2 linked regions of the Pelodiscus sinensis genome follow. The protein of the gene in region 2 interacts with the protein of the main gene of each other region in a pairwise test. Links are inferred from orthologs where the notes say so. Each region holds a gene or a part of one and is shown on either strand. Other genes may lie near its edges.

The links.
Region 1: the proteins of XRN2 (region 2) and TARDBP interact in binary tests that used the Homo sapiens proteins (3 or more experiments, as listed by UniProt). The link is inferred for Pelodiscus sinensis from reciprocal best matches to the Homo sapiens genes XRN2 and TARDBP.

The regions. Positions count from the first base shown.
Region 1 is NC_134733.1:11,712,159-11,728,004, forward strand, and holds the start of TARDBP (TAR DNA-binding protein 43), read right to left. Parts: upstream 5,991-15,846; 5' UTR 5,852-5,990; intron 5,028-5,851; 5' UTR 5,013-5,027; coding exon 4,775-5,012; intron 3,526-4,774; coding exon 3,362-3,525; intron 2,383-3,361; coding exon 2,242-2,382; intron 11-2,241; coding exon 1-10. UniProt on the Homo sapiens protein: RNA-binding protein that is involved in various steps of RNA biogenesis and processing.
Region 2 is NC_134713.1:195,828,368-195,844,466, reverse strand, and holds the start of XRN2 (5'-3' exoribonuclease 2), read right to left. Parts: upstream 6,067-16,099; 5' UTR 5,756-6,066; coding exon 5,681-5,755; intron 1-5,680. UniProt on the Homo sapiens protein: Possesses 5'->3' exoribonuclease activity. May promote the termination of transcription by RNA polymerase II.

The sequences.
Region 1 (15,846 bases), on a different chromosome or scaffold from region 2:
CAGGACTTTGCTGGGTAGAATCACAGAAAAAGAAATAGTGATTTAAAAAAAGTAATAATTCTTCCGAATACTAATTGCAACTTAGTTTTTTATAGTATCACAGAATCCTAGAAATGGAAGGGACCTTGAGAGATCAAGTCCAGTCCCCTGCTATCATGGCAGGACCAAGCACGGTCTATATCATCCTTGATAGATGTCTGTCTAACCTGTTCTTCAATATCTCCAGTGATGGAGATTCTACAACCTCCCTTCCCTAGGCAATTTATTCCAGTGTTTAACCACCGTGACAGTTAGGAAGTTTTTCCTAATGTCCAACCTAAACCTCCCTTGTTGCAGTTTAAGCCGATTGCTTCTTGTCCTACCCTCAGAGTTCAAGGAGAACAATTCACACCCCCCCCTTCCTGTGAAACCCTTTTAGATACCTGGAAACCACTATCATGTCCCCTCTTAGTCTTCTCTTTTCCAAACTAAACAAGCCCCATTCCTTCAGCCTTGCCTCATAGCTCATGTTTTCTAAACCTTTAATCATTTTTGTTGCTCATCTCCGGACCTTCTCCAATTTTTCCACATCTTTCCTGAAATGTGGTGCCCAGAATGAGACATAGTACTCCAACTGAGGCCTAATCAGTGCAGAGTAGAGCAAAATAATTTCTCATGTCTTGCTCACAACACTCCTATGAATGCATCCCAGAATCATGTTGGTTTTTGCAAGTGTCACACTGTTGGCTCATATTTAGCTTGTGGTCCACTATGACCCCTAAGATCCCTGTCTGCAGTACTCCTTCCTAGACAGTCCCTTCCCATTCTGTATGTGTGAAACGGATTGTTCCTTCCTAAGTGGAATACTTTGTATTTCTCCTTATTAAACTTCAACCTATTTACCTCAGACTATTTCTCCAGATCATTTTGAATTATGACCCTATCCTCCTATCCTTATGAAGTTTTCTATCACAAAAGAAACAATTAACAAGGGTTATCCAGGTGTATATCAGTTACAGAAAGAGCCAAAGAAAAGCAACCCTCCAGTTGCTGTACACACTATGAGATAACGTAATTAAAAACTGTACCCCCCTGAGAAAAAGATGGCAAGGATGAACTTGGAATTCCTAAGTGGATAGAATCAACCTTATCCTCAGGCCTTATTTACACTGGAAATTTTAGGGAAATCTCCCGTCTTTGCTTCGGTAGTGGTGCAGTTCCAGCAGTGCTGACAATAATGGAAACAGCACTACATACTGACCACAGCCATATCTACAACCCATAAGCTAAAGCTCTTTTGATGACTGAAGATTTATTTAGAACATCCTGTTCAAAGAGCATCTCCTATGGGTGGTGCCAACGGCATGTGTGTTAAAAATGGAGAGCAGGAAGATAGGCAGACCATTCCTTGTGCTGTAAATTCTTCACTTGAAAAATATATAATCCTCACATATATAGCAAGGCCTGGTTAAAAGGGTTGTGGTCTACTCTTGGCTCTACTATTGACCCAGTCTGGCCTTGGGCAAGTCACCTATCCTCTGTGTCTTACTAGCCTCCCTTCTTCAAAACAGGAACAGTATTTGAAGCAGTTTAAACAGGAACTGTTAAGATATTTATGATGTTATCAGGCTGGTTTCTATAGTTTTCAGACTGGATATCTCCCTTGTGCTAACTAGTTGTTTTCTCAAACCTCCATCCTACCTTTCCTTCAATCTCTTCACATCAGCATCAACCCACCTAACCTCCAGGCTCCACTCCTTCCTTTTGTCTTCTGACCTAACAATTCCTTTAGGCTACGTCTACACTGGCATGATATTCCGGAAATGCATGTCTAGATTGGCAGGATGCTTTTCTGCAAAAGCACTTTTTGCGGAAAAGCGTCTGTGGCCAATCTAGACGCGCTTTTCCGCAAAATAGCCCCGATCGCCATTTTCACGATCGGGGCTTTTTTGTGGAAAACAAATCTCTGCTGTCTACGCTGGCCCTTTTGCGCAAAAGTTTTTCGGAAAAAGACTTTTGCCCTAACGGGAGCAGCATAGTATTTCTGCAAAAGCACTGACAATCTTACATGAGATTATCAGTGCTTTTGCGGAAATTCAAGCGGCCAGTGTAGACAGCTGGCAAAAGTGGCTAGTCTAGACACAGGCCCAAAGTCCACCCCTTCATTTTCCCATACATCTAATCCCTTCTTCAGTCAACAGAACTCTTTAAAAGAGTGCACGTTTGTTTCTATAAACACTAAAATAATGTAAGGAACGGTACCTTCGAATTAGGAAGTTTACAGTCACACCATCTTCCATCTATCATGTGACGTTGAGACATCACTTTCACCTGGGTTTCATACTCCGTAAATCGAACAAAACCAAATCCCTTTGAATGACCAGTTTTAATGTCTTTCTTAACCTAAGATGAAGAGGGGAAGAGAGAGAAAAAGATTATCTTGATCTGTAGTTTTCAAACTATGGGTCGCAGAATGTCAGGCACTGGGTCTCATTGCTGCAGGTTCATTAGTTGGGTTGCTAAGGCAGGCTTTCTGCCTCCTTTCACTGCAGACTGCACTGTGCCCCAGAAGCAGTGAGCAGCAGGTCCAGCTCCTAGGTGAGGATGGGGGTCAGACGAGCCCACAGGGCTCCATGCACTGCTCCTACCCTGAGCACTAGCTCCACACTCCCACTAGCTAGAACCTGCTGCTGGCTGCTTCCGGGGTGAAGCAAGGTTTCCGGTTCCAGGACAGGCAAAAAGCCTGCCTTAGCATCCCTGATGCACCGCTAACCAGGAGCTACTCAAGGTAAGCCCCTCTTGCCCGAATCCTGACCCCAAAGCTGAAGCTCTCATCCTGAGCCCCACCCCGGATGCTTTTTTTAGTACACAAAAGCATTTGATGGGTTCATAGGAAAAAAGACTATGTGAATTCCAGAAAAAGTGTTCAAAAGAGCATGGGTTTGATGCATGGTGGCAAAGTGCTAATCCAATCTTAATATAAAACAAATCTTTAAACATAAAACATATTGATGAAACTTAAAATTCAGTCTTCAAAAACACTACAACTACCATAATAGTAATAATAAATTAACATGTAAGCACAAAACCCAATCATCACACAGCGGGCCATATTCTGTCTCATTTACACTGTTACAACAGAATTATTCCCTTTTCAGAAACAAGTCTTGATATGGGTCAACTACCTGAACACATACCAAGATATCCCCAAGAAAAAATAGCACACTGCAAATAGTGTAAAGCAAATTTTAATGTTACAGTAGTTAAAGATGTACTCTTTATACTACCCAAATTGCTTTGTACTGGCTCAAATAGAAAAACGTTTAAGTTAACGGAATTCAAATTCTGACTTAAGTGGAGAGGCAAGTGCAACAGAGTTTACCTGAACCATGAGAACTTCTCCAAACGTACTAAAATATTCCTTCAAATCTTGTTCAGTGGTTTTCCAAGGAAGACCCAAAACTATTAAATCGGATGTCTTTTGTACAGCTCGTTTTACTTTCACAGCTGATGAGGCATCCGTTTCATCCATTTTTCTCTTGTTATCTAAATGATACACATCAGAAACTGTCATCTATCTCCACAACACATGAAGGAAAGCTGCTTTCATTGGTCAGAAGCAGCATAGTACTAGGATCAGATCAGTGAAGAACAACCAAGACTAGTGAGTGGGCTGCATGATTGCCAGTAGTGGGCAACTTGCGGCCCTCGCACTCGCTTTCTGCCTCCTTCCTGAATGCCTCACACACAGTGGAGAACTGGACCCCCCATACATCCTATTCTTCCCCCTCCCTCTAAACACTTTTGGAGCATCAGGAATCCACTGAATTCATGCTCAGTCCCTGTTCCTCCTCCATCTTGAACAGCCATGAACAGCTGATTCATAGCATTCAAGTTCTGAGAGGGAGGGGAAGGAGCAGGGATGGAGTGTGAATCAGCAGATTCATGGCGCTACAAAAGTGCTGGGAGGGAGGTGGCGGTGAAAGAAGAGATAGGCTCCAGTGCCCCAGTGTGCAAGAGGCATGGGGAAGGGGGCAGATAGGGGACATGCAGGCCTCAGGTGAAATCCCAGTGGGCCATATGCAGCCCATAGGCTGCCCATCACTGGATAGATCCTTTCAGGATGTATCATGGAAGCTAATAGGGAAAGATACATATTTATTATTATGTTATAATACACATCCAACTGCCCTACAGTATTGGGATAGAAGTTCAGAAGACAGGCAGACACAAATGCATCTAAAAACACACTTTCAGCATGTTTTCCATTGAAGTACTGCCAAATAACATTCACATGCCTGACCAGATTTTGTATGCATTATATATACTTTGAAAAATGGCTACTCAAATGAAAACGGAAAAATGCTCTCCTTACTCTTTTTTTTCTTTTTTTGGTCATCTTTCACCTTTCCCACACCTTCTCTTACAACACTGATGTCATTGGTTCTAATCATGCAATTTCACGTGGGCAAACCTTAGCTCTGCACAAAACTCACTGTAGGATAGGACCTTTGATAACTCTGTGAGATTGTTAAAAGTCTTACAAAAAGTAAGGTAAAGTTTTATTAGTAAAGCACCTTGTAGAATTATACTAAATAATACTCTCATGAATGAGAACGCTCAAAATCACTCTGTGGGTCAGGCACACACATTCATGTGAAAAGGACTAATTTGTAGTTGTGCTATGGTTTGACAAGAGGAAAACAAAAAATAAGGAATCTCTAGCTCTTGATGTAAAATTCCTTGTAATTAAGAAAGCATGGCTGTACCAAATATTCATGGAACAAAAACAAACCTTTGGGATAATTAACAACATAGACCAGATTTCCCCAGCCAGCATCTGGGGCATGCAGAATTCCTTCCACTAGCCGGACTCCTCTCATACACTGAGACACTGGATTCCTGTAACGCAGGCCACATGCTCCAGGGAACTGGGCAGTAACTGTGGATAGCAGCACAGTGCCATCATCCTCTGAGGGGATCTCAATGGGCTCATCGTTCTCATCCTCAGTAACACGGATGTATTCGGACATCTTTGCTGGATTTTACTAATAGAGTAACAAAAAAAGCAGGGAGGAGATCAGCAATTTTTTTACTCCAATTTTATTTTTAATCCTAGCTTCTCTGCAAAACACCGACAATACTTTTTTTGCTAGGCATAAGGAAACTATCAAGTGAGGTTGCATTTTATCTTCTCTAAGCTTTGTGTGTGTTACGTTCTCACAACGAAGTGCAAGGTGACATGTAAGCGGAATGCTGGGAAAGGAAAGGGTGTGAATAAAGGGTTTGCTTACAATTTGCATTGATCTCACCAATCACCCCACTGAGGGGGCGAGGCGAGGCGCACCCCTGAGTGGGACGGGGTAGAAGGGATGAGCCAACAGGTACTGCTGGGAAGCGAAAAAGAAGGGGGAAAGCCAAGGACCAGACCAAAGTAGAGTGGGGCGGGGGGTGGGGGGTAAAGCGAAGGGGAGCAAGGATCAGACAATGCGAGGGCAGAGGCCCAACCATTTCTCAGGTGGAGGGGGGTAAATGTCCTGGTCACACTGGGGAGACAGGGAGCAGAGGTCAGGCCACAGAGGAAGGGAGTCAGGACCAAACCATTACCCGGAGAAAGGGGTGAGGACCAGACTAGATGGCCTGCCGATACGCTACCCCTAAATGAGGCCTAGTTTATAACCACCACCCCCTCCCGCGGGCAGCTAGGCCTCGCCACCCAGCCCTTCCGCGCGCGCTTCTGCCCGCCCCGTCAGGCCCAGCCGCTCTCGAGCTCCGGGCTGGGCCTAACTCCCCGCGGCTCCCGACCCGCTCCGACAGGCCCAGCCGCGGTTGGGACTGGGAACGCCATTGCCTCTAACTCTGCTCTGCTCACCGGGCTGGGGAAGGGGGCCTTACACGGGGCGAAAGGGTTACAGACACCTCCACCTTCCTACAGCCGCCGCTGACAAAATGGCGGCCCTACCGGCCCCCAGAGGCAGAGACCGGTCTGGGGGCGAACTATTCTTCCCTCGGAGGGGGGAAGCTGGAAATGAACGGAAAAGAGCAAACGCCGGGAACGTGGCCTGCTTGGATCTGCGTAAAGAAGCTCTCACACCGTCCTCAGTGTACCTCGCTCGGGATGTGCGGAGCCGTACCTCCTGACAGGGACAGAAGCAAATCTGGGATTGCCCTCACACACACCCTAGAGGAATGGTATGATCCGGCCTACCAGCAGCGCGCATGCGTAAGGCTGAGGCAGAGGCGAGATGGGGAGGGGGAGGAGGAGGAGAGGTGAGGTGAGTGCGGGGAAGGCCTTGGCGCTGTTCCCCTTGAAGGACGTTGAACGGCTAAGGGAGCGTTGCGTGCCCGCTGCTCCAGTCGAAGCTCCTTGTGGAAGAGGCATCCATCATAACTGCCTAGTTCTTTCATGGGGCTGTTGATTCTACTGTATTTGCATAGTTGTTAGGTTTCTCCTGCGCTGACAGTATTTAAAATAATGAACACACGTCTCTTGGTTCTCTTACAGTGTTAAGTTTGTTACAGGTAAAACCCAATTCTGTGAAAATATAAAGGCAATTTGAAGTCCAACTACTAGGGATCTTCCATCATGCAGCGCTTTCCATTCAGGGCTCAACTAAATGATGTGCCACAGGTAGGGGCTGCTCCTGTCAGGCCAGGCACCAGTTAACTGGTTACTCTGGTAAGCATGCAGATAAGGCAATGCTTACCAGGTAACCGGTTAACTCTTTACATCCCTACTCGAGGTTCCTTTCAGTTCTAGGATTCTAGGCAGGCAGGATCTCAGAACATATGAAGGGGCAGGAAAGGTGAGTTAAATGCATCAAAGGAGACAAGGGTGAATGAAGCCTTTTGCTTGGATTGCAATGAAGAATCAAGTAAACAAGTTATGCAGCTTTCAAAACTCTTTTGCCGAGCGTTTTGTGGAGGGATTTTTTTTTTGGATGACTGAAATAACTGTAAAGCTATTAGACAAAGTGTTAATATATGTATGAGATAAGTGTGACAACAGTTTCCTGCTTAAAGATAGGTTGTACTTTGAGACAGGAGCTCAGAGCTCAGTTTGGTCTGAGTCTTTCAAGAGAGCCAAAGCTACTCACGTGGATACTGTCTAAATGCATATTGCATTTCATCTCATTCCAGCCCAGAAAAAGAAAGGTCCCACATGTTAGATTGACATCATAATTCTTACACAATGGTTGACAGATTTGAGTCTAGGGTTGATAAATGGCACTGCATAATCTGTATTTCTAAAATAAAAATTGGTTTACTTGTAGCTCATTTCATTCTCAAGGTGAATGCAATAGTTACTGGTATTGTGATGACTGCACAGGCAAACCTGCTAATCATTGTTTGCTCAGCAATGACTCTCAGACAGATATGCACATTCAATACTGTTTTATGAGAGGGGAAATGTAGGTAGGGCATGTCTCCTTTATTTAAATAATATGGTGTGGGATTTTCCATTGTCACTTTAGTTTGATATCTTGTTCGAAAACTAGTACTTCTAATAGCCTTGTCATGCAGTCTGATCCCAGGCAAGAATCCCCATTGTTTTATGCTGAGCAAGATCTACTTCTCTTAACCCTTTGAGATACACCTAACATGCTGTATGCAGGCATTTATTTGAACAGCACCTTCTGTAATGTTATACAGTAATGTTAGTGGCACTAATTTTGAAACCTCAGGCACCTTGTTATTCATATGCCCTCCTTTTGTATCTTGTGAGGATTTTTCTCGTTCTCTGTTTTTACTGTGGCCCTTCCCTCTTGATTTTAAAAAGAATTGGCTAAACTAGACCGAAATCTGGACAGGTTAATGTGCAGATGAGTTCTTCATGGAATCATCAGCTTGTGGTTCCCTGGAGCTTTGCATAGGTTGGGAGGTAAACTATTCTATTTCTGAGTAAGAAGGAATCTCATTTGAGCGCTGAATTCCCATTCACCGATACGTCTTTCTCATTTCCTCACTGCTATGTTGTGGGGAAAGTGGTAAGGAGAGGCTAGAACTGTAGCTGCTAGTAGTGTAGAACTCTTCAGATGTTGTCGTTCTTTCTACAAGAGGTTGTGAGGTTCTGCTTCATGAATTTCTTTGTGGCAAAAGATGTTTGTATTGACTCTTATAGAGAAGACACAAGACTCACTAGCAATGCACATAGAAGGGATTCTGTATTGAGACTACTGGATGCCTATGATCAGATTATAGGACAGTCTGCACCTCTGTCCCTTTTCTGGTCTCTCTCACATGTTAGGTCTTTTGCCTTTACCTTGCTGGGATGGAATTTAGAGAGGGTCCCTTTTGATTCTGACAGTTCTTTTGTTTGTCCTGTGTTTGTGGGTCTTATCCTGTCCTGGTAAGAACCATTTGGGTAGATTGGCTGGAGAGGAGGCAAAATCACCAAAGCTAATAATAGTTCTTGCATTGTCCCATAATAGGTCTTCAGTGTTTGCTGAGAGGTGGCTATCTCGACCTATTCTTTTCCTTCTGACATGTTTTCCCAGAGAGCCTCCTGTTGAGTTAAACTCTTAGACTGTCAACACAGCGACATTATTTTTGAATAACTAACGTTATTCCAAAATAACATGGTTCACGTTCTACACAGCAAGCAGTTATTTCTACATAATGTTGAAAGACCTATAATGTCAAGTTGTAGGACTTTTTACTCTGACTCCTGTAACCCTCATTTTACGAAGAATAAGGGAAGTCAGAGGAAGAATGCTTTAACTTGAACTTCCTGCTGTGTAGACAGCGCCAAAAGCTGAAATAAGCTATTTTGACTTGAGCTATGTAATTGATGTAGCTCCAGTTGCATAGCTTATTTTGGCTTTAGCCCTGCTGTGTAGATGTTCCCATACAGGTCAACAGAAAACACCCCACTGCTCAGGTCTTACGCATAGTGTTGATAAATCATGACAGAGAAACTACACATTTATCACATATATGGTACCTGTAGTTCTCCCTTGTTAACACAGCCTGTGCTGCCTATCCTAACTGTTCAGGATCACTCTAATTCTTGCAGTCATTTAAGGGACTGCTGACTGCATGACAACATTGAATGGTGTGTTGTTTTTTTTCCATCCCCATTATACAACTCTGGATTTCCAAGAAGCACAAGAAGAGGGAGAAGCAATTATTGTTAAAAATGTTCCCATTCCCACCTGCTATGGCTCCATTAAGGACAGCAATCTTCTGTTTCCTATAGGGTAGCCCTCCAGACCCATTAAACACTCACATTTTATACTTTGCACTGATACTACAACACATTAATAGCTTTTACACATTTTAATCGCTTTTTATGTGCCTGGATAATTGCCCTTCCACATTTCTGTACATTATTATTAAAAGATCAGAATAAAATGATAAACTCAATAATTAGTCCATCAGTCTTATAAAACAGTTACCCTAGCTGCAAATCATATGCCAGACATCTGTAATGCAATCATTTTTCATTTCAAATGTATACGAACAGGAAGCCATATAATGCAGTCATTTGGGAGGTTTGTAAGAAGGACTCTAAATAGTTCTGGCTGTTGTCTTCTTTACAAGACAAGTGGAGAGAAAACTTTCAATGTATCTTCCCCATGCAACTCTCTGTGTAACTTAAAACGGATGGCTGTACCATCCTATTCTGGGGAGAAAGTACAGTTCCATTTCAATATTCAGTTGTGCTTTTGGTAAAATAGGGCTGGAAGGTGCATTGAGAAGTCATCATGTTCAGCCACCTGCACGCTGGTAGGACCAAGTAGACCATCCCTGGTCTATCCTCCAATGATGGGTATTCCACAATGTAATTACCTTTAGAGGAGCAAGTTTTTCCAAATATCTAAGCTGTAGATTAAGTTAATTGCTTCTTGTCCTATCTTCCATGAACACAGAAAACAATTGATCACCGTCCTCTTTATAAGAGCCCTTGACATATTGAAACAATTATTAGATCCCTCTTTAGTCTTTTTTTTCTCAAGATTGAACATGCCCAGTTTTCTCACTGGTCAGGTTTTCTAAACTTATCATTTTCATTGCTCTCATTTGCATTCTCTTCAGTTTATCCACATCTTCCCTGAAGCATAGCAGCCAAAATTGGACACAGTACTACAACTGAGACCTCACCCATGCTGAGTAAAGGGAGACAGTTACCTCCATACAACACTCCTGTTAATATACCCCAGAATATTAGCCTTTTTCATTGCTGCATCAGGTTGACTCATTTGTGAAGCATTATAATCCCCAAATCTTTTCAGCAATACTACTATTGCCTAGCTAGTTATTCCCCATATTGTAGTTGTGCATTTTCCATCCTAAGTGAAGAGATTTGAACTTATCTTTATTGAATTTTATCTTGTTGATTTCAGAGCAGTTCTCCAATTTGTCAAGGTAATTTTCAGTACCAGTCTTGGCCTCCAAAGTACTTGCAGCCCCTCACAGGTTGGTGCCATTTGCAAAGTTTATAAGCATACTCCCCACTCCCTTATCCAATTCATTAGTGAAAATACTGAATAGTGCCTGGTCCAGAACTGACACCTTAGGGATCCCACTAGATACACTCTCCTAGTTTGACAGTGAACAACTCATAAATGCTCTGTGAGTATGGTCTTTCAATCAGTTGTGTGTGTATCTTATAACAATCTAGACCAGCAGTGTGCAGCCTGTGGATGTCTCCTGTCTTCCTGGGGGGGTCACAGCACTGGGCCGGCCGCCATTTTGTTTTCCCAGTTTGGCACCCGACGTATGCACAGCAGGGGCAGGAGGAGTGACGGGAGCAGACCGGTGCTTTAAATTAAAGGGGCCACAACAAAAAAATTTTTTTTCCTCAACCAAAATTTTTCCAGCACTGGGTGGGTGTGTGTGTGTGTGGGGGGGTGTGTGTGTGTGTGTGTGTGTGTTGCGAATTAAAAAAGGTTGAGCACCACTGATCTAAACCAGGGGTTTCCCTTGGCTGAAGCAACTGCATAGTCTATCCCAGGAGACCCGGAGGTAGGGGAGCCTGTTCATTACCATTCCCTAAGTCCCACCATCATCCCACCCTCTTGCCCCCAGGGCACCCTGTCTCCCAAGGATGTGGTTTCGGGGATCTCCGGGAGGGGGGTTTGGTGTGGGATGGCAGCAGCAGTGGGCAGCACCTGAACTCTCTGAGTGGAGCGCATTCACTCAGCTTCCCTGAGGCTCCTGCCACCACAGGGAATGCAGAGGGGGGCCAGCTGCTGTTGTATGTGATGAGGTGCCATTGGTGGAAAGGGGAAAGGCTTGGGGGATGGTAATGGACAAGACTCGCACCCCCAGCCCATTGGGACTCCTGATCCGGATTGTGCAATTGCTCTGGCGGTGGATGGCCCACAGGCCAGGAGTTTGAGACACCTGGTCTAGACCATATGTTTCCCGTTTGCTTATGAGAATGTCATGTGGGACTATGTCAAAAGCCTTGCAAAAAATGAAGGGTTCCCTACACTTGCACCCAAGCTAGCCTCACTTGAAGGCAGAGGGGATTCAGTTTCTAATGCCAGTCAGACTGGAGCTAAACCAACACTGGATCTCAGCTCTGGAAGCATCACTTCCTTGAGGGAATAGTGAATTCTGTCTCTTGGCCTGATTTTTTAGAGGTTCTGAGCACTCTTGGTTCCCACTGAAATCAATAGGAACTATGGGTTCTCATCACCTCTGAAAACCAAGCCATCTATATTGATTTAACATTAGAGTCAGCCATTTCAAAGTTTATTAGCATATCCTGGCACTGAAGTGAAAGGACCGTGTTTTGTATAGTTAGCTTAAAGGACTGAATTTGCTTTCCAGGTAGCCATTATACCAAGAGTCCACATTTTCTATCCATGCTCAATGTGCATCCTAAATCCTGTTTTGACGTCGCCAAGCTGGCATTGAGTCAATCAGTGTTGTTTGTACATGCTGTAAGTACTGGGCTGTGATTGCAGGCTGTCAGCATTACCAGTCTGCACCATGTCAAGTGAAATGTATAGGTTAGCAGTCAGACTATTTCAAGAGGTTTCCATGGCATTTAGCCAAAGTGACCTCTTGCTAACAAAGCATCTGGTGATAACTTCACTAATGAGCAGAGTAAGCACCAACTGTGGGCTAGATTTCACACAGGTAAGCAGCTTGGAGAGAGTGGTGAGTGAACTATCTGATTCAGAGTCTTGAGCAGTAAAATAGTCAGAAAAAGGGCAGTTATTCCCCAAAGCTGGTTCCTTAGTTCTGGCAACATACAAGCTTAGAATTGACCATTTTCAAATTCATCTATGAATTTTTCAGTGACAATAGTGATTTTCATAGCACTTTCCTTGCTGTACTTTGAACTTATATTAAGTTTCAGGTAAGACAATTAGTAGTAGCATTTGCTAACTGCACCAGTGGGCATGCAGATATTTAATTCACTGGTTCCTCCACACCAGCAGTTCAGCGTTCCCATCAGTGTAGACAGACAAAGGCAATGCAGTGATAGTAGCCATCATGTGTGTTCAGTTAAGTGTGCCCACTGGCCCAGAACATAATCCAATACAATAACTGTTTGTTGCCCTGGGCTAAGTGTACCCAGGGGCATGCCCAAACTCAGTATAATGATTAGCCACTGGCCCTCTCAACGAGTGCCCACCAGTGCAAAGGAACATCTGTGGCATCTAAATATAACCTTGTGCTAAAGAACTTAGCTCTGGACACTTCAAAAACACAGACCATTGTAGCCTGTTTCTGATTACAGGCCAGTATAAAGCAGGAAGATTCAGTGGAATGACATTGGTGTAGTTGGTATCAGAAGTAAGACTGATGTCTGTAAATACTTCATGAACCACCCCGCACAAAGTACTGTAGCTTCTTTTATCCTGCTTTAGTCATCTTCTCACACTAAATAGCCAACTCATTTTGGCTCTATGAAGGGTAGCCATATTTTAGACTCTGCAGAACAGCCTGTAGGGGGCATCCTAGAAGCACTAAGCTGCGGCCCATTACAAATAATTGTAAGAGGAATAATAAGGCATTCATTAGTGTAGAGCCATTGGGACTGCATCAGGAAGCAGCCTACATCGCAAGTGAAATTGCCAAGTTTTTGCTCACTCTTATATGCATCAGCACAACCTTCCTTTGCCCCATGCCTTGAGTACAGCACATGCTGAGTGTTACTAGTTAAGGGGACAAGCAGCTGCCTGGAGGCAGTTCAGTTATTCCTTTCTGTTGTTTATGGAATCAAACTGTTATGTGGAGAGATTGGAGCCTTTGGAGCCATGGCTTTGAAAGGGAGGTGCTATTCCTTGGAGAGATGAGATCATCAGCGCTTCTTAGCTATTGGTTGAAGTTGAAAAATACATGTTCAAAAAATATGGTCAATGTTTTTTTTGTTACCATTTTCTTACCTTCCCGTTAGAAGAGCTTCTTATAGCCAAAGAAAGGAGAAGAGATCAAGATTCCATGAAGCCCACTAGAGATTCGCTCCTGAGCTCCCTTGCACAGACACACAAGTCCAAATCCTGCAGCTATTTGTCTTCTCAGGCTGGTGGCCAAGGAATTAGCAGGCAGAAAGGGGCTGACTCTCCGTCACAATCCCAATTTTGGGTCAGTTCTGCTCTGTGATGACCCTTCTGTAGTCTGGGTAGCAAGGTGATATAATCCCACTGTAGGCTAATATAATTAACCAGGGAGACCCTCTGATACCACCAGGATGGGGGGTTAATATGAAACTCTAAAATAGATACAATTAAGGGTGTTATAAATTATTGCCTGAATTTTTTTATTTTACATTTTGGAGAGTTCAGTTTCTCATCAGCACCCAGGTACAGCACGGAAGTAAGTAGGATAACCTACGTTGTTCAGTGCAGTTTGGCTCTCGGTGCTTTATTCTGTAAATTAATGATAGAGCAGTAAAGCACACTTGGCTGCTTGGGAATAAATGATACAGGAAACTGAAATCTATTTGGTCAAACTCTATCCAGGCAATGTACCTGAGAAGCCAAAATTGTCTCTTTGCACCTATATTTACACCCTCTTAATTCCCTCTCTTGGGATAGCTTACAGTATTTTGTTATGGACAAAATTCAGTAGTCACTGAGGTCTTATCTTTGCTTAAAGCTGTTTCCCTGTAGCATTTCAGTGAAGACATGACCTATTGATAGGAGGGATTCACCTCCCTGAAAAGAAGTAGCTCTGACAATGGGAGAATGCAAGTGCTGTCTACCCTTGGTTAGATCAGTTTAACAGTGTCAGTCAGGGATATTGTTTTCCTTGTTGTCACGTTACTGGAATTTGAGGGAAGCAGCTGGATCATGGCTGCACCCATAGGTGGGGGTGCTGGCCCCAACAATGGTATAGAAGGGGGCCATGTGGGGTATTGAATGGGAGCTTGTTGTTTGCTGATGCTGTGTACGCTATTTATGTGAGTGTATAATGTCTGTGTGTGTAGGTAGGAATCTGTAATCTGTGTGGAAGCTGAATATTTCTCTGAATGTGGTTGAGCATTGCTATGGACAGGCTGATTAGTGAGGCCCTGTGGGACAATGGCACTCGATGGGCCAAGGACACACCTAAAGCATGAGGGCGGAGACCTAAGAGCTGCCAGCAGAGAGAGGCTGAGGGCCAGGTGACCGGCTGCATACAAGAAGAGGCCAGGAAGGAGGTATAAAGAGGCCATGTGGTCGATGCCATTTTGTCTTCAGCTCAGCACTTCATCCCAGAGGCAGCATTGCAGGGATTGAAGAGCCCGAAAGACCTGTGCACCCATCCTGATCTTAGGATGCGCAATAAGAATTTTTAAACCAGCAGCTGTAACATCTCTGCTAGAGCCTGCATCGAGAACTGGGAGATTCGGTGCATGTAACGTACTATACTTTAATAACCTTACTCTCATACTTTTCTTTCTTGTGTTAATAAACCTTTAGTTGTTAGATGCTAAAGGATTGGCCCAGCATGATTTGTGGGTAAGGTCCAAAGGGTAAATTGACCAGAGATCTGTGGCTGGTTTCCTGGAACCGGACAGAACTTGTTCAGGGTAGGTGGGATTGGGTGCTAGGACCCCCCACCTGTGTATGAGGTCTGGGGCCATCTGGGGCATGGATATTGCTGGGGTGTTGGAGGGGTTTTGCTCATGAGGCTTCAGGCAGGCTGCTGAAGCACTCTGTGGGACTGGTTTGTGGCCTGTTTGGAGAGGTCACCAGTCTGGGGGCTGTAAGGAGCCCCAGATTTGAGCAATTCGCCCTGAGCGGACGCCCTCAGCGGTGCCTGGACACGGCCCGGTCTGTCACAGTTGTGTAGACCAGGCCTGATTTTTTAGGCAAAACTAGGCTGGTCTATGCTAGAAACTTAAATAGGTATACCTATACATCTCGGGGGTGAGAAATTCACACCCCTAACAGATTGGACATATCCACACAGCAGGGCTACACTTGAAATAAGCTGTGCAACTTGAGCTACGCTAATTGTATAGCTTAAGTTGAAATAGCTGATTTTGAATTTGGGCACATCTACACAGCACTTATTTTGAAATAGAGCACTCTTCCTCTGACTTCCCTTACTCCTCATACAATGAGGTTTACAGAAGTTGGAGTAAGATGCCTGTTATTTCAAATTTATTTTGAAATAATGGGCTTGCTGTGTAGACACGCAATACATTATTTCAGAATAACGTCTGTTGTTCTGAAATATCGCAGCTCTGTAGACATGCCCCAAATGACTACATGCTTATTTTGGTATAACTATGTTGCTCGGGGTTTGAAAAATCCACATCCAAGAGCAAAATAGTTATATTAATCTTAACCATCTGTGCAGACAGTGTTATGTCAGTGAGAGAGCTTCTCCTGCTGATTTAGCTATCTCCTGTTGCAGAGATGAAGTAACTAAACCTATGGGAGAGCTCTCTCCCATCTTACAGCATCTTCATCA
Region 2 (16,099 bases):
TCAAATGTATACAATAAATTTACCTTATGTAATGTCCAATGGAAAACAGGATTTATTCATTTTATGTAAGAACAATGGGATCTAATCCTTAGTTTATGGCAAATTTACTTTGAGTCCATAAGAGGTATAACATTTAAAAGGATCTGGACACACTGCAGAAATGGTCTGAAGCAAACAGAATGAAATTCAGTAAGAACAAAGGCAAAGCACTCCACTTAGACCAATCACTTGCACAAACAGAAAATGGGAAATGCATGTGCGGTGTGTGAAGACAGGGCAAGCCCTCAACCCCACCCCTTCTGCACAGGCCTTGCCCAGAAGGGAGCCAAGCCACCTTCCCACCCCAGCACCATGGGGAGGACAGGTGGCTCCAGTCTCCCTGGCCCCGGAACATAGGGAGGGCAGATGCTCGGGGGGCAGCAACACTCCTTCCCCTTTCCCCCAATATGCTACCGCAGGCGTTCTGGGGGCAGAGAAAGGGTGGGCCAGCTTGGCGGTTTGGGAAGGCAGTGCCTTCCCCCACCTATTATACCTGTCTGTCGTGGGGAGATGACTGCCTCAGAAGGAGTCCTGCAGAAAAGGACTGGGAGTCACAGCTGCTCATAAGCTAAAGGAGACAACCGGAGTAACAGTATTGCAAATCATCATCATCTGGGATTTATTAGCAGGAGTATTGTAAGCAGGACACAAGAAGTCGTTCTTCTGTTATTATCCGTGCCAATTCGACTGCCACTGCAGTACTGCGCCCAATTCTGGGCATCGCAGTTCAGGAAACATCTAGACTGGGGTCAGCAACCCCCGGCACGCACGCACGCCGACTTCCCGTGGCACATGGGCTGGAGCTCAGCCCCACCCCTCCCCCCAGCACAGCCAGGACCTCAGGCTGTGGCCCCAGCCTCACAGCTACAGGCTGGAGCGCTAGCTCAGGCTTCCTGCTGGGGATGTGCGTGGGGAGATACGCACACATTCCTGGGGCTGCCCCTGCCGATCCTGGGCATGCAGCTCCCAGGAGCTAAGTGGTTAACCCCTGCCTCCTGGCTACGGGCTTCTTGCTTCGGGAGGGGGTAGGGCTGGGCCTGCTCCGCAGAGCCGGGGCTGGGCAGCTGGCACATGTGGTACACCGGGAGACCCTTCCCCAGCACCCCTCTGTGCCTGGCTGGGCTGGAGCCAACCCTGGGCAGCCCCAGGCTCTGCCTGTCCCAGCTCCAGAGCCACAGCCTGCAGGCAAAGGGCTGATCTGGGCAGGGAAGAGATTCTGCCACCCCCCACCCCGCCTCAGCACTGCTGGTGAGTGCACTGGGGGCACAGTGATTTGGGAGCAGGATGGGGAGTGAAGGAGGCTGCACAGGCAAGATAGGAGGGGACAGGGGTTGGACTGAGGGAGCATGGAGCAATGCAGGGGATCAGGCTGTGGGGGGCAGGATGCAAGGGAGCAGGGGTTGGACTGAGGGAGCATGGAGCAATGCAGGGGATCAGGCTGTGGGGGCAGGATGGAAGGGAGCAGGGGTTGCACTGAGGGACATAGGCAATACAGGGGATTAGGCTGGAGGGATATAATGGGGCTGAGGGGATTAGGCTGGAGGGATATAATGGGGCTGAGGGGAGCGAGTCTGGAGCAGAGGGAAGATGTGAGGAGGGGGGATTACTATTTTACATTGCAGAAGCTGCACTTTCCTTTACTCCCCACTTCTTTGCCTCCCTCCCCAACTAACTATTTGGCTGTATTCTCACCCTTCTACATTCCCTGGTTTACTCCCCCAACCCCCTTCCGTCCCACACTCTCTCCTGCTCCCAATTCCCTTCCAGATCCTGCCCTCATCACCACACCCTACATCCCTATCCCACTCGCTGGCAGCCCTGTCCCACACACTGAACCACTCATTTTTGTCCCCACCCCAGAGCCTAAGGGGGGGCCACAAAATTCACTAACTCTGGAACCCCAGGAAAATAAATCTGGCCTATGGGAAGCCCTGAATCTCAGTCCTTCCAGTCCCTTCCCCTCACCCCGTGGGGGCTGGACTGCCAGAGGAGTGAGGTGTCTCAGTTGGGAGCCACATCAGTGAAGGTTGGGAGTTTGGGGAGGAGTTTTTTCGCTTCTCACTTGTGTGGTCCCCAACCGATTTTTCTGTGGCCCAAAACAGGTTCCCTACCCCGCCATAAATAGAGAAAACATTGAAACCTGTTGTGTTGAAAAGAATATTTTAATTTAAAACGAAGTTTGATAAACAAACATGAGAAAGCTAAAACGCTTAATCTGTTTAATAATTGAAATTAAACCATTTTCCCCAGCTGCAGCATTAGCAAAATGGCTTGGGCATAATTATGTAATTAACAGTGAGTTTCCATTAGCAACTGGTAGTCAGCAGAAAGATTTGCATTGACCCAGGTGGTCCACGGGGCACACGGTGGAGAAAGCCTCATCTCCCTCCCAGGAGGGTGGCATGGTCCAGGGTAGGAGGGTTAAAAAGGATGCCGACCCCTGATCTAGCCAAACTGGAGAAAACCCAGAGAAGAGCAACAACAAAAAATCACTGACGGTCTCAAAAACATGACCCCGAGGAAAGACAGGAAAAGATGGGTTTGTTTAATCTGGAGAAAAGACAGAGGGGGCACGATAATAATGCATGTGCAAAGCCCCCTGGGCGCACAACACAGATGTGCATGTGGCCCCAGCAGTTGCCATTTTGAGTGGCGTGTGGGGGCACAGCAGGTAGGGAGTCTGCATGAGGGTCTTGCTGCATTGCAGGAGGGGAGCAGATTATGGTAAGCATTTCCCAGCCAGAGCTTGCACTTGGCACCCCGCTCCCTCCTTTCCCCCCACAACTCCCTGTCCTAAGTTACAACCCAAAACCTCTGCACCCCTGCCCCTGGTCACAACTACATTTAAACTGCAGAGCCAAAGTGGGGATAATCTCCCAGACCCCGTGCAAACCAGGACTGAGCTGGGATTGCTCAGTCCCGGCTCATATCGGGTCCAGCAGCCCCGTCCATGGGGGGCCCCAGCTCCCCACTGGGATCCCCATGAACAGAGGCTGCTACCAGAGTAGCTACCAGAGTAGCCTCTGCCCATGGCGAGCCTGGGCCCACTGCAGTTACCGGCTGCTCCCTGGCAGCCTCCCCTACACCCTCCCCACTGCTGCCTCTAACAGGCAGCATCGGAGATGGTGCAAGGAAGCACCTGCTTTTAAGTCGGCTTCCCCCAGCACTGGCTCCTGTTCCGCCCCCCCTTGCTGCCTTGGATACAGAGGCAGCAAGGATGGGGGGAAAAGCAAGTAGTCAACTCAACTACCCAATAAACCTAGGCTTATGAGGTAATCGACTACTCTTACATCCTGCACCTCAATCCTCTACCCGAGCTCCCTTCTGCACCCAACCTCCTTCCCAGACCCCAGCACCTCCTCCATTAAAATAGTGATTTGTAATCACTTACAAATTCCTAACTAACAATTAAATAGCAGAATGAACAAGAGATGGGAGTTAGGCATGTAAAATACCACTTAAATAGTCAGTTAACCGACCAAATGTTTAACTAACGGGATCCTCGGTGGAAGCACCGCTCCAGGCCAGCTGGAGCATCCCTCAAGCCCGTGGGTCTCCTACTCCTAGCCCTATGCAGGCTGGCTGCCAGGGCCGGCTCCCAGCGCCAGCCCTAGCTCCCAGCACCAGCCCTGTGTGGCTAGAGCAGTATGCCACAGGTGAGGGGCTGCTCCCGGGGAGCCAGATAACTGTTATCCAGTAAGCATCACCCAGTAAGGATGATGTTGACTAGATAACCAGTTACTTGTCCACATCTCTAGTTAGAGTATAATTACACCTCTCAATAAAAAATAAAATAAAAAATAAAAATCAAGGAAATAGAGAATGTAAACATGATTAAGTGATTTCAGGATTATACAGGAGAAAAGATTAAGTGACCAAAATACATCTCTGACCACTCTTCCCCAAACAAACTTTCCCATTATACCATTTTCCATCCTTAAACTATCTACACAAGTTTACTTGCAAACCATTCTGACAAGCACTAATATTTGTGTATGACCAATACTGTAAAAGTACATTTAAGTTTGTTACTTTAAAACCTAAAACTCTGCAGCTGAGAAGTGTTCGTAGTTATAGGATTTAAACACACTAAGATAGAACCTTTGTGATCTCTGCCGTTTGCTATCATAAATCGTATGGACTATTTCCATTGGTTACTGTTCAGCCTAACAGCCCAGAAGAAATCAGCACTGTAAACAAAACACTCTCTCCATAGCATTAGGCCATTCAACTTTTCAACAGTATTTATTTTTCACATTTTTCCTAAGTTGAATAGCAGCAACAGTGACCTTCAGGTCAGGCATTTCATGGCCATTAATGACCAGACTGCTAAAGACCTCCAGATTCAGTTTCAGCTATCACATCACCCAGGCAGTCATTAAGCAATAATGATTTCCTGGTAGCTAATGTTGAGTTGTCATTAATGAGAGTGCCAATAAAAGGCAATGGCATAAACAGACAAAGTGTTTATAACAAATAGGAAGTGCTAGCTTCTGTGCTACACAAAATGAGCAATCCTGGGAGGGTGCAGGAAAAGGAATGCCAACAGTTACTTGATACTAACTTTAGATTAGGAGCAAAAAAGTTCAGTTCTCTTGAGTTTTGCAGAAAATATGATGAGAAACAGTACGTAAAAGGCACAGTTTCCAAATGTTCTGAAAACAGCAGCAGCCACGTGACAAGAAAGCTTTGAGCTTCAATTTAAAGACTAAAAGAGGCAGGTGCTGGCAGTTGGATGACAACACTATTCAGCTTCTTCACTGTGATTACTTGCACAGAGTCACAGCATAAATAAGGCACAGCCACATTTGCTAGATATAAATCAATTCGCCATAATATCAAAATGTAACTAATCGTACACCTTAGCACAACACATAATATCACAAATCTGTACAATTTCTTAGTGCTTTGGGTTTGTTCACAAGTGAGAAGACGTGTCTTTGTTGAATGCCTGTACTGTGCCTAGCAAAGTGAGTGGAAGACCACCCTGAGTGGGGCCACATCCATCACACACACAAACACACTGCAAAAAAGTCAAAGGAGCCCCAGCTCTGCGGTTGCTGAGGCTCACAGGGTGGCTACTAGCTGTATTCCCTCCCTCAGCAGGCTCATCCCAGGTACAGCTAAAGATGAGGCCAGAGCTCCAAACCCGGGGGAAGAGGGGGCTCCCTGCTCTACCAAGGAGTCTGCCCGGTTACATGAAGCCCCGTGTGTAGTTACCCAGCCTAAGTGGAACAAACGGGAACCGGGACTTTGTGTTCCACGGAGCCTGCGCCCCGCAATGCAGGGAGCAAAGTGGTCGAGTAGAGTCAGGACGGGAGGGGAGGCGGCAGCGAGACAGGAGCCGATCCCCAGCCCAGCAGCGGGGAGGAGGGAGAAACAAAACTGGAGGAGTTTGGGGGGGGGAGCGGGGAGCTGATTCCCCCCCCGCGCGTGTTTCGGATGCGGCCCGCTCCGCCGTTGCTAGACGCGGTGCCAGGCTGGGAGCAGAAGGGGGAGGGAGGCCCCGCGAGGGAGGGGGGCCGCTGGCCCGGGACAATGGGAAGGGGGAGTAGAATGGGGGGGGCTGGTCCCCAGGCCGGGGGGGGGGAAGACGCGGGGGAGGGGACCTGGTCCCCGGGGCGGGCGGGGCGGGCCTCACCTTCTCCTCCACGCTGTGCACGATGATGGAGGGGTACTTGCGGCTGAGCCAGCGGAAGAAGGCCGGGACTCCCATGGCCCCGCGTGGGGATGCAGAAGCGGCCCCGCGCAGTTGGAACCCAGGCAGCGGCGGAACCGGACTTCCGGGGGCAGAGGGCGGCGCGCGGAACGCTGGGAAAGGAAGCGCGGGGGGAGCCGAGGGGAAAGAAGCGGTGGGGGAACGGGGTAAGTCACGTGACTCCGGGTGGCCATATCTGGGCCTGCGCAGGGCGAGCTCGCTCCCTGCCGGCCCTCAGACACGCTGCGGGGGCGGGGCCAGCCTTCGCCTCGTTCCCTGCCGGGACGGGAAGGAGAGAAGCTCGCCCGGCTCTTAAATAGCCCGCCCGCACCCCGAGACTGGCCTTCCCCCTTTCCACACCCGGCTCCGGCGGCCGCTCCCCCTCGGCTCAGCCTGTTGGAGACGGCCTGACAGGGGGGCGCTACCGCGCATGCCCGCAAAGAGCGCGCATGCCCAGTGACCTCTGCTGAAGCCGCAGCTCTGGCGATACCCTCAGGTGGGCTCGAGCGCTGCTGCCTGAAGCCAGGGGGCGGGGGCGCGCGCGCGCAGCTCGGGAGGGGAGAGGTGGGGTGGGCTGCGCAGGCGCCGAGGTCGAGGCCAAGTTGCCTCTCCCCGGCCCAGAGGGCGGGGGCGGGGCTAGGCAGCTCCCCCCAGTGGCGGTTGGGCCGTTAACCGCTGCGGGTGGCGAGTGGCTGCTGGCGCGCGAGGCCTGGGCTGGCGCGCGGCGGCGCTCAGTGGCCGGGCCTTGCTCCCAGGCCCGCGCTCGGGGCGGACCAGGCCCCAGGCCCCGCCGCCGCACCTGCGTCTGTTACACGAGCAACCCCCCCTCCCCGGCTCAGGCCCCCGCCCTCCTGCAGCCCCGCAAATCAACCCCCCTGCCTAGGCCAAGCCTGGCTCCCTCAGGCAGCGCTCTCCGGCTCCTGCCCCCCGCCAGCCTGGGCGCTCTGCTTGACCTCCCCTGCGAGCCTGGCGCCCGGCCCGGGCTATGGGGCTGCCCCCAGCAGCCCGTCACTCTCAAGGGGTCTGCCCAGCACCTGGGAGCCCGTCGGCTGGGTGGGCCACGTCTACACTGGCGGCGTCTTGCGCAAGAACATGTCCGCGCAGCCCTGTGCACTGTGCTTTTGCGCACGAGCGTGCCTGGCAGTGCGGCCGCTCGCTTGCGCAAGAACACGTCCGCGCGGCCCTGTGCGCTGTGCTTTTGCGCAAGAGCGTGCCTGGCAGTGCGGCCGCTCGCTTGCGCAAGACATCCCAGCCGAGCGTCCACACTGCCGCCTGCACAGACGGGCTTACACCTGATAAAGAGCGTAGGGCTTGAGCAAGAAGCCTTCTCTCACCGCGCCGTACTGTACATTTCCTTGTGCAAGAGCGGGTGGGCAATAGATTCTTGCGCAAGAAGCCGCGAGTGTAGACATAGCCGGAGAGGGGCCCATCAGCCGCGACGACAGGACAAGAAGGGAGCTTGGTGAGTTACCTTTCCGCCTTGCTTTCATCTGAGACGCTCTCAGCACCTTTCTCAGACCTGAACAAGAGCACTGCAGGCATACAAGTTGGTCTGATAAAATATACCACAGTACAAGCTCTGTTTCTCGGAGTTCATGGTAACAGTATAATAGTGTTGTAATCGATTATCAGTTAATGCGATAGACTACACGTATTTTTCCCCCCACACCTTTGCCAGTAAATTTTTTATAAGTCTGGCCTGCAGCCCAGCTTGGTCAGGGACCTATCCCAACTGTGGCTCTGCATTTAAAGTGTATTAGGAGCTAGGCAGGCAGCCTGGCTCAGTTTCGGTACCAGAAGCAGCAATACGGAGCAACAGGCAGCCAGTCCATAAGGGGGGCTGGTTTTTAAACTGGCCCCCTCATGGATCAGCTCCCTCCTGGCACCCTGCGCTGATGCCTGTGAGATAGAGACCAGGGTTGCTAACTGTCACAAATTTACAGTCAGTAAAAAATTAGCTGGAATTGGACATGTCTGTAAAAAACAGTAGGTATCCATAAATTTTGTAAAAGTGCAATAAAATTTCAAAAACCAATGATTCTATAGCAATTAAATTTCTTCTGTGCTGCTTCAGCCATTTTACTGTGGAGCAGCAGAAATTGAACGTTTTAGTTGTTTATTTAGCTCAGTGAAAAACTTTCAGGACCATGACTAACTAAATGAAAGTGAGTTAAATAGCATATTGTACTTGTGATGTATAAAGGACAATTACTTTCACGTTTGGCTATTTGTCGTCTTAATGTAGTATAAAAATTATGTCCATAAATTTTTTCCCCATTTTGTCCATAAATGAAATTTCTGTGGGTTGGCAACACTACTAGAGACAGAAGCGTGGAGTGGCAAAGGTCTTCTCAGTGGCAGGTCGGATCCTCACTGGCTGTCGGCTCCACTATAGACTAGTCGAGTAACTGATAAGAATTCATGAGGTTACTTGACTATTCAATTAACTGATATTTAACATCTCTAGTTCATGGGAAACTGGGGGTTGTCGGTTAATCAAATGTGCCAGTTACTTCAGCTTTACACTATGGTTCATGAATTTTTTACCATACACTGGCCATAGTTCCAGGATGGGTTAGATAATATCAGATAGTGGTATTATATGCAGAAGTACAAAGTGTGAACAAACTTTACTAATGCAAACTTGACTTCTGCAAATGCAAATTTCTGGTTAACTGAAGGAGTAATTGTATTGCCATCTATGACAGGTGCCAGTTAACCAACTCTGAATATTCAAGTGCTGGATAACTCAGCTTGTATTGTACCTCACCAACCACGTCTGTTTTCCAGTGTAGCCATTACAGTTCACCAACATTTGGGGAGGCATTGCTTTATTGATTATGGTAACTTAAAAGTGCCCAGATCTTGGGATCTAGGATTGGGATTATGACTCGTTAGCATTATTCTTAATATAGGCATCACTATTATTTTATACAATCTTTCTTTTCTTAAATGTAATCAATGATTTTCAGAACAAGCTTGTTTTGAATATATGAATTTACAAAGAAGAAAGAAGACTACTTTAAAACAATAGCATTTTTTTAAGGTCAGGATTGTTGCTCTCTGCATACGAGTGCAGAGAAGTGCAGGAGCATACAGTAGTGCTTTCCCCGTCTCCAGATTACCTTCATTGTAGGTAGCAGCACATAACCTGCCTCTCTACATTCTTCAGAGGAAGGTGAAAAACCTCTTAAGGTCGCTGCCAGTTTGGCTTGACGGAAAATTCCTTCCTGATACCCACCGGTATTAATCAATAGCAGAATACTTCCCCACTGAAGCAGATTACTTTCATCCTCTATTTCTAAACCTCTACAACTCACCTAAGCAAACACAAGATACCTTACCCCAAACAGAATTTTTACTCTGAAAAAAATTCTAGACACTTCAGCTGTGTCTACACTGGCATGAATTTCCGGAAATGCTTAAAACGGAATACTATTCAGTTTTCAGTTTTTCCAGAAAAGGAGCATCTACATTGGCAGGCTGCTTTTCCGGAAAAGCCCTTTTTCCAGAAAAGCGTCTGTGGCCAATGTAGACGTGCTTTTCCGGAAAAGAGCCCCGATCGCCATTTTCGCGATTGGGGCTTTATTCTGGAAAAGACTACTGGGCTGTCTACATTGGCCCTTTTCAGGAACAGTGTTCCGGAATAAGGACTTATGCCCGAGCGGGAGCAGAATAGTTTTTCCGGAATAGCGGCTGATTTTGTACAGTAGAGCATCGTTGCTTTTCCGGAAATTCAAGGGCCAGTGTAAACAGCTCGCAGCTTATTCCGGAAAAGCGGCTGATTTTCTGGAATAAGTGGCCCAGTGTAGACAGCCTTCATGAAGTCATTTAGGGCTCTAGTGCTATTGATTTCACGTGGAAGTTGATCAGATACTGTACTAACAAGTGGCAATATAGGACCAATAGACAGCAAATGGGGAACCAAGAACCCAATTGCAACTCAATTTAGGCACTACCCCTTACTTAGTGGACATTGGTAACTGACAGTCTTGCTTTAGTAGCATTTTTAAATGCATTGATAAATTAACTGCATTTATAAACTTTATAAAAAATCTTCTCTAGTTGTGACTGACACACTTAATCCAGAAAACAGATACATAAAAAAATTAAGCAAGGTTTTACCAAAATTTAAGATCCCCCCCCCCCTTATTCCATAGAAATTATGTGTCTGTACAATAAAGAGACAGGTTTGAAACACAAAGGCTACATCTAGACTGGCATGAGTTTCCGGAAATACTTTTAACGGAAAAGTTTTCTGTTAAAAGCATTTTTGGAACAGAACGTCTAGATTGGCACGGATGCTTTTCTGCAAAAGCACTTTTTGCGGAAAAGCATCCGTGCCAATCTAGACGCGCTTTTCTGCAAAAAAGCCCCGATTGCCATTTTTGCGATCAGGGCTCTTTTGCGGAAAACAAATCTGAGCTGTCTACACTGGCCCTTTTGCGCAAAAGGACTTTTGCCCAGACAGGAGCAGCATAGTATTTGCACAAGAACACTGACAATCTTACATGAGATCATCAGTGCTTTTGCGGAAATTCAAGCAGCCAGTGTAGACAGCTGGCAAGTTTTTCTGGAAAAGCGGCTGATTTTCTGGAAAAATTGGCCAGTCTAGACACAGCCTAGGAGAGGAGATTATTTTTCCCCTTCAGAATAGATTGTGGATATGTTGCCTCTTGTGGTGATACACAAAGCAAGCAAAGGTGGAAGTCTTTAAGAAAAGTCATAATGATTATATAATGGTGGAAGTACATAACTGATCTGATACAACTTCATCAGAAACACAATCTGGGAAATTAGAAGGCATGATTTGTGACAAATACAATGAGCAGCAATAAATAAAACTTTGCCACCTCATGTATGCATTGCATAAGCAAATAAAATTAAATTAGCCATATGAGAGTGTTAAAACTGAATTAAATCTTCAGATATTAAATGGGGCTACTGTGATCAAGGTTTTATACTTTACTGTGTCTTTGTGACAATATTCCACCTACGTTGTGGCAATGACATTGGTGAGGATGTAAAAAAGAGTATTGGAGGGGGAAGGAAAGAACCTTGTCTTTACAGTAAAATAAGTTAAGCCAATTTTGTACTTCTCATTCTTATCTTCATTTAATTGTGTTATTAAACCACATACAATATCTCTGTGACTTGAATAAGTTCTCAATAACCTCAGAGGGGTGCTACATTTATTGTATAAGGAAAAGATTGGCTTTTATCTGTTCCTTCAAAAATGTACCCTGACTGCAGCAATGTTCAAGCACTACTTCTCCTAGACATTATTCTACAGTACTTACCACCTAGAGAGGTGACTTAATATGAACAGTGTGTGAGCATTTGGTAGTCTTTCTGATAATAAAAACAATACTAATCATCTCCTTTTCTTACTGGCTTAAATTATGGTTGAAATTGTTTGTCTTTGCTAGCTTCACACATTATTTAAGTCCTCAATAAACACTTCATGGAAAAAGTTAACCTACCACGTGCAGAAATCTATTTTATGAAATCCCTCTAAGGAAATGTCCATTCCACAGTGCTTGCCAAATAAAAATATACCTAAAGGAACGAGACCTACACATCATCTGTGTAAAAGATCCTGTGCTGTTGTGCCAGATACGAGCTTTTGCGCCAATGAACTAAAAAAATATAGACTCCTGAAATAAATGGTAACCTACCAGAGAAGCAACAAGGACAGTAGAAATCCACTCCTACTAGCAAAACCCCCAAAGACAAGAATGGTAAAAATGTTTATTCCACATCCAACCTAGGTGGTTTGCCACGGACTTTAGAGGGGCCAAGATTTCACCACCTAAAGCCAATGCCATAATTTGAGCATGTAAAGTTACGCACAAGTGTAAATATTTGCAGGATATTATCTCAGTGCTATGTTTTAAAAAAAGGTGTTGACTATTCTAAAAATTGTCAAGAACAGTTGCGCAAGAGGGCTTATTCCTGAGCGGGAGCATCATAGTTCTTGCACAAGAAGCACTGATTTCACACATTAAAACATCAGTGTTTTTGCGCAAGAACTCCCCGCCAGGGTAGACAGGCAGCATGTTTTTGCGCGAGCAGCTGCTTTGGCGCAAGATCGTGCCAATGTAGACACAGTTAGGTTCTAACACCCCTTTCTACCACCTGCCCTGAGCATGAAGAACCTACCTTTGCTTATTTCTGCCTTGGGTTAGCTCCCTGATTACCCCCCAGCACTGTCTCCAAGGTGTGTGTGTGGTAGCCTCCCCCAGCCCTACCCATAATACAAACTGGCTGTGTCTAGACTGGCCAGATTTTCCGGAAAATCAGCCGCATTTCCGGAAAAACTTGCCAGCTGTCTACACTGGCCGCTTGAATTTCCGAAAAAGCACTGACTTCCTACTGTAAGAAATGAGTGCTTCTTGCGGAAATACTATTCTGCTCCCGTTCAGGCAAAAGTCCCTTTTGCGCAAAACCTTTGTGCAAAAGGGCCAGCGTAGACAGCTCAGATTTGTTTTCCGCAAAAAAGCCCCAATCGCGAAAACGGCGATCAGGGCTTTTTTGCAGAAAAGTGCGTCTAGATTGGCACGAACGCTTTTCCGCAAAAAGTGCTTTTGCAGAAAAGCGTCCGTGCCAATCTAGATGCTCTGTTCCGAAAATGCTTTTAACGGAAAACTTGCGCAAGTACAGCCGTTCTTGCACAAGAATCTGCAGAGCATCCACACTGCCCGCCCGCTCTTGCGCAAGTAAATTTACAGTACGGCATGGTAAGAGAGGGCTCCTTGTGCAAGAGCTACGCTCTTTTTTAACAGGTGTAAGCCCTCTTGTGCAGGAGTTCTTGCGCAAGAGGGCAGTGTAGACGCTTGGCAGGGATTTCTTGCGCAAGAAAGCCCTGTGGCTAAAATGGCCATCAGAGCTTTCTTGCGCAAAATACTACACTGCCATGGATGCTTTTGGGCAAAAGCACAGCTCGCCGATGGCAGTGTTAACGTTTTCTTGCACAAGACTTCTTGCGCAAGAAGCCGCCAGTGTAGACATAGCCTAACTGTTGAAGTTTTAACTTGACTCCTCCTGTTGCTGTAACAGAGCCAAACACAAAAGAACTCCAGCTGGTCATGGGGCAGATGCATTTGGATCATGTTGCCTCCACGAGACAGATCCTTTGGGGCATCTGTCAGCCTTCCCTAGGCTGCCCGCTGCGAAGGGACCCCGATCCTAGCAGCTAAAGACTTGGATGTGACACACTCTCCCTGCAAACTCTTGGGGGCGCCCGTCAGACTTCCCTAGGCTGCCCGCTGTGAAGGGATCTCGATCCTAGCAGTTGAAGACTCGAGTGTATAACACACATACCACGCACTGCCCTGACCATCGGCTGACAATCCCACACAGAGAACAGGAGCAGCATGATGGTGGTGGGGGGGGCAGGTGAATTGCCGGCATTTGATTAGCCTTCCCCAGTCAGATCAGTCAAGATCGCATGTCAGAAGCTTCAGGATTTATCAATAGATCCAAATCTGTCTTGACTGGTGACCGCTTATCTAGACCATTCCTGCTCTTAGATATCGCCAATGATGGAGATTCCACAAACTTCTTAGGCAGTTTATTCCAGTGTTTAACTACCGTGACAGGAAGTTTTTTCCTAACGTCCAACCTAAACCTCTCTTGCTGCAATTTAAGCCCATTGCCTCTTGTCTTATCTGAGATCAAGGAGAATAATTTTTTCTCCCTTTCCTTGTAACAGTATTTTAGGTGCTTGAAAGCTGTTATGTCCCCTCTCAGTCTTTTATTTTCCAGGCTAAACACATGCAGACAATTGCTCCAGTTTGAATAGATAATTTTGCGTTATAAGCCTATCCTTCAAAGCATTTAGAACCCCTCCCATCTTGGCATTATCTGCAAACTTCATAAGCATCTTCCCTATACCATCATCTAAATCAGGTTTATTGAACATGCGGCTCATTTGTTTGCGGCCCGCGGGTGGGAGCCAAAACAAAAAAGTAGTCAATATAATGCTCTTCTGATATGTGTTTTAGTAGCTAAATTCCTGGGTTGTCATTGCTCATTAAACGTGCTGTCAAATGAGTGGAAATCGGGTAAATACTGCGATTTATTAATAGCAACAGAACTGACTTACATGGGGTTTGCATGGGAGGTATTCTTGTCTTAATCTTTGTATTCATTCCCCATCAGTATGAAAGAAGCTCTTTGCATATATATTTGCATGTATATGCAAATCACACTTAAGTTGCGGCCCTTCGCATGTGCTGTATCATTATAGCCCCTGGGCTTCCGAAGTTGAGTAACCCTGATCTAAATCATTGATGGAGATGTTGAACAGAACCAGTCCCAAAAGTGATCCCTGAACACCACTTGTTATACCCTTCCAGCATAACTGTGAACCATTGATAACTACTCTCTGAAAACAGAAGCTTCAGGGGGTAGCTGAATTAGTCTGTTACAGAAAAAAACAACAAATAGTCTGGTAGCACTAGCAAAACATGTAGACCGGTCATCTGAAGAAGTGGGCTCCGTCCATGAAAGCTCATGATACCATCTACATGTTTTGTTAGTCTATAAAGTGCTATCAGACCATTTGTTGTGTTTTTCTCGGAAAACAGTTATCCAACCAGTTATGCATTCACCTTATAGTAACCTTATCTAGATTGTATTATTAATGAGAAAGTCATGGGAGACTGTATCAAATTCTTTACTAAAGTCTAGGTATACCATATCTACCACTTCCCCCTTATCCTATCAAACAAAGCTATCAGGTTGGTGTGACATGATTTGATTTTTACAAATCCAGGCTGACTGCCCTGCCATCTCAGCATTTGACTCAGCATGCAGATAGATTTCCATCATCAGACACACAATGGCCTGCCATGGAGATAAATGAATTCTACCCCCTTCTCCCCCCCCACACACACATTTGGTGGAATTTGTTTTAAGATATGTCATCTCTGGGTGACCAGCCTTTCACTTCAAGGCACTAAGAACATCAATTCCTATATATACACGTTCTTACGTATTATCCACGCATACATTTTACAAAGATTACGATGGCCCCTATGGCTTTGGGCTTTTAGCAGAACCCCTACAAGACACCCTTCGGTGAACTAGAATGTAAATACAGGTTGAGCCTCTTCCATTCCAGCAACATCCATGGTCTGGTAGGCTCATGGGTGTTGGTGGACCAGAGAGCCCCTGTGACTGGGAGCAGGGGCCAGCCAGCCAAATGTCCAGTGGCAGAGTGGCCAGTGACCAGGAGCCAGGCTGATGGCTGAGAGTCAGGCTGGCGAAGGGCCGGGAGCATAGTCAGTAGGGGCTCCTAGTCAAGGGGGGGATTGGCGGCCAGAGCTAGGGATGTATCCTGAGCTGGGAGCATTGCCTAGGCTGGAGGAGCAGCCTGTAGGGGACCCAGCAGCTGGGGGGTGAGTGGCCCCCGGTTGAGCCTGGCACTAAGGGGCCAGAATTGACCTCCCCGGTCCAGCAAACTCCCTCGTTTGGAACCAGTCAGGGCCCAAGGGTGCCAGCCCAGGGAGGTCCAACCTGTACTAGACACCTGTAACCTTGATGCATCAATGTGCCTGCTCCCAAGTGACATCAAGGGGTCCTTTGATCCCAGGTCTCCCTTGCCTCTGCCCCTGCCACAACTGTACCCCTTCTTGGGATGGAAGTGGCAGGGGCCATGAATACAAGAGCCAACTCCTGAGTTTGTTGTGGGGCTCACCACTAGGCATGCTAGTCCTTTCTCTCACCGCCCTCACGCCCTGCCTTCAAACAGGCTAGGGTGCATTCTGCAGACAAGAGGACCCAACCACCCCACACCCTTGTTTGTGTCTTTTCTGACACCATTCCAGCAGAGCCCCTGTGTTCCCTCCAAATACAGGGTGATGTCAATGGGGTTAAAACCCCCTTCTGGACAACAGACTGCATATAGACAACTCTTTCTTCAATGGATAAAAGGAACCTTTTGACCAAATTTTCCAAACACAGATAGACACTGCCCTTCAGAAGTGTTCATGGACTAACTTCGCCCAAGCAAACCAGCACAAAACCACAGTAATTGCACAGGCAAAGGACGTACACACACAAATCCAGTAATTGCACTGAAAGTCCAATGCTCTAATTCAGGCTTTTGTGAGTACACCGGGGGTATACAACCTTTTTGCAGACACACTTATTGTGCCTGCCTTTAAAATTTGGTCTTAATCCATTAAAACCTAGACAGTGATTAAATGCATCTATACAAGACGTTTCTGCAGTGGCACAGTATTTTTCTACGAAAATAATTCGGTAATGTGTAATTGTGTATAAACTGCAGCAATCGATTCTATTTTTTGTGTAGTACTTTCCCTTAGATGAGTGGCATGCAGCTTTAAATCTATT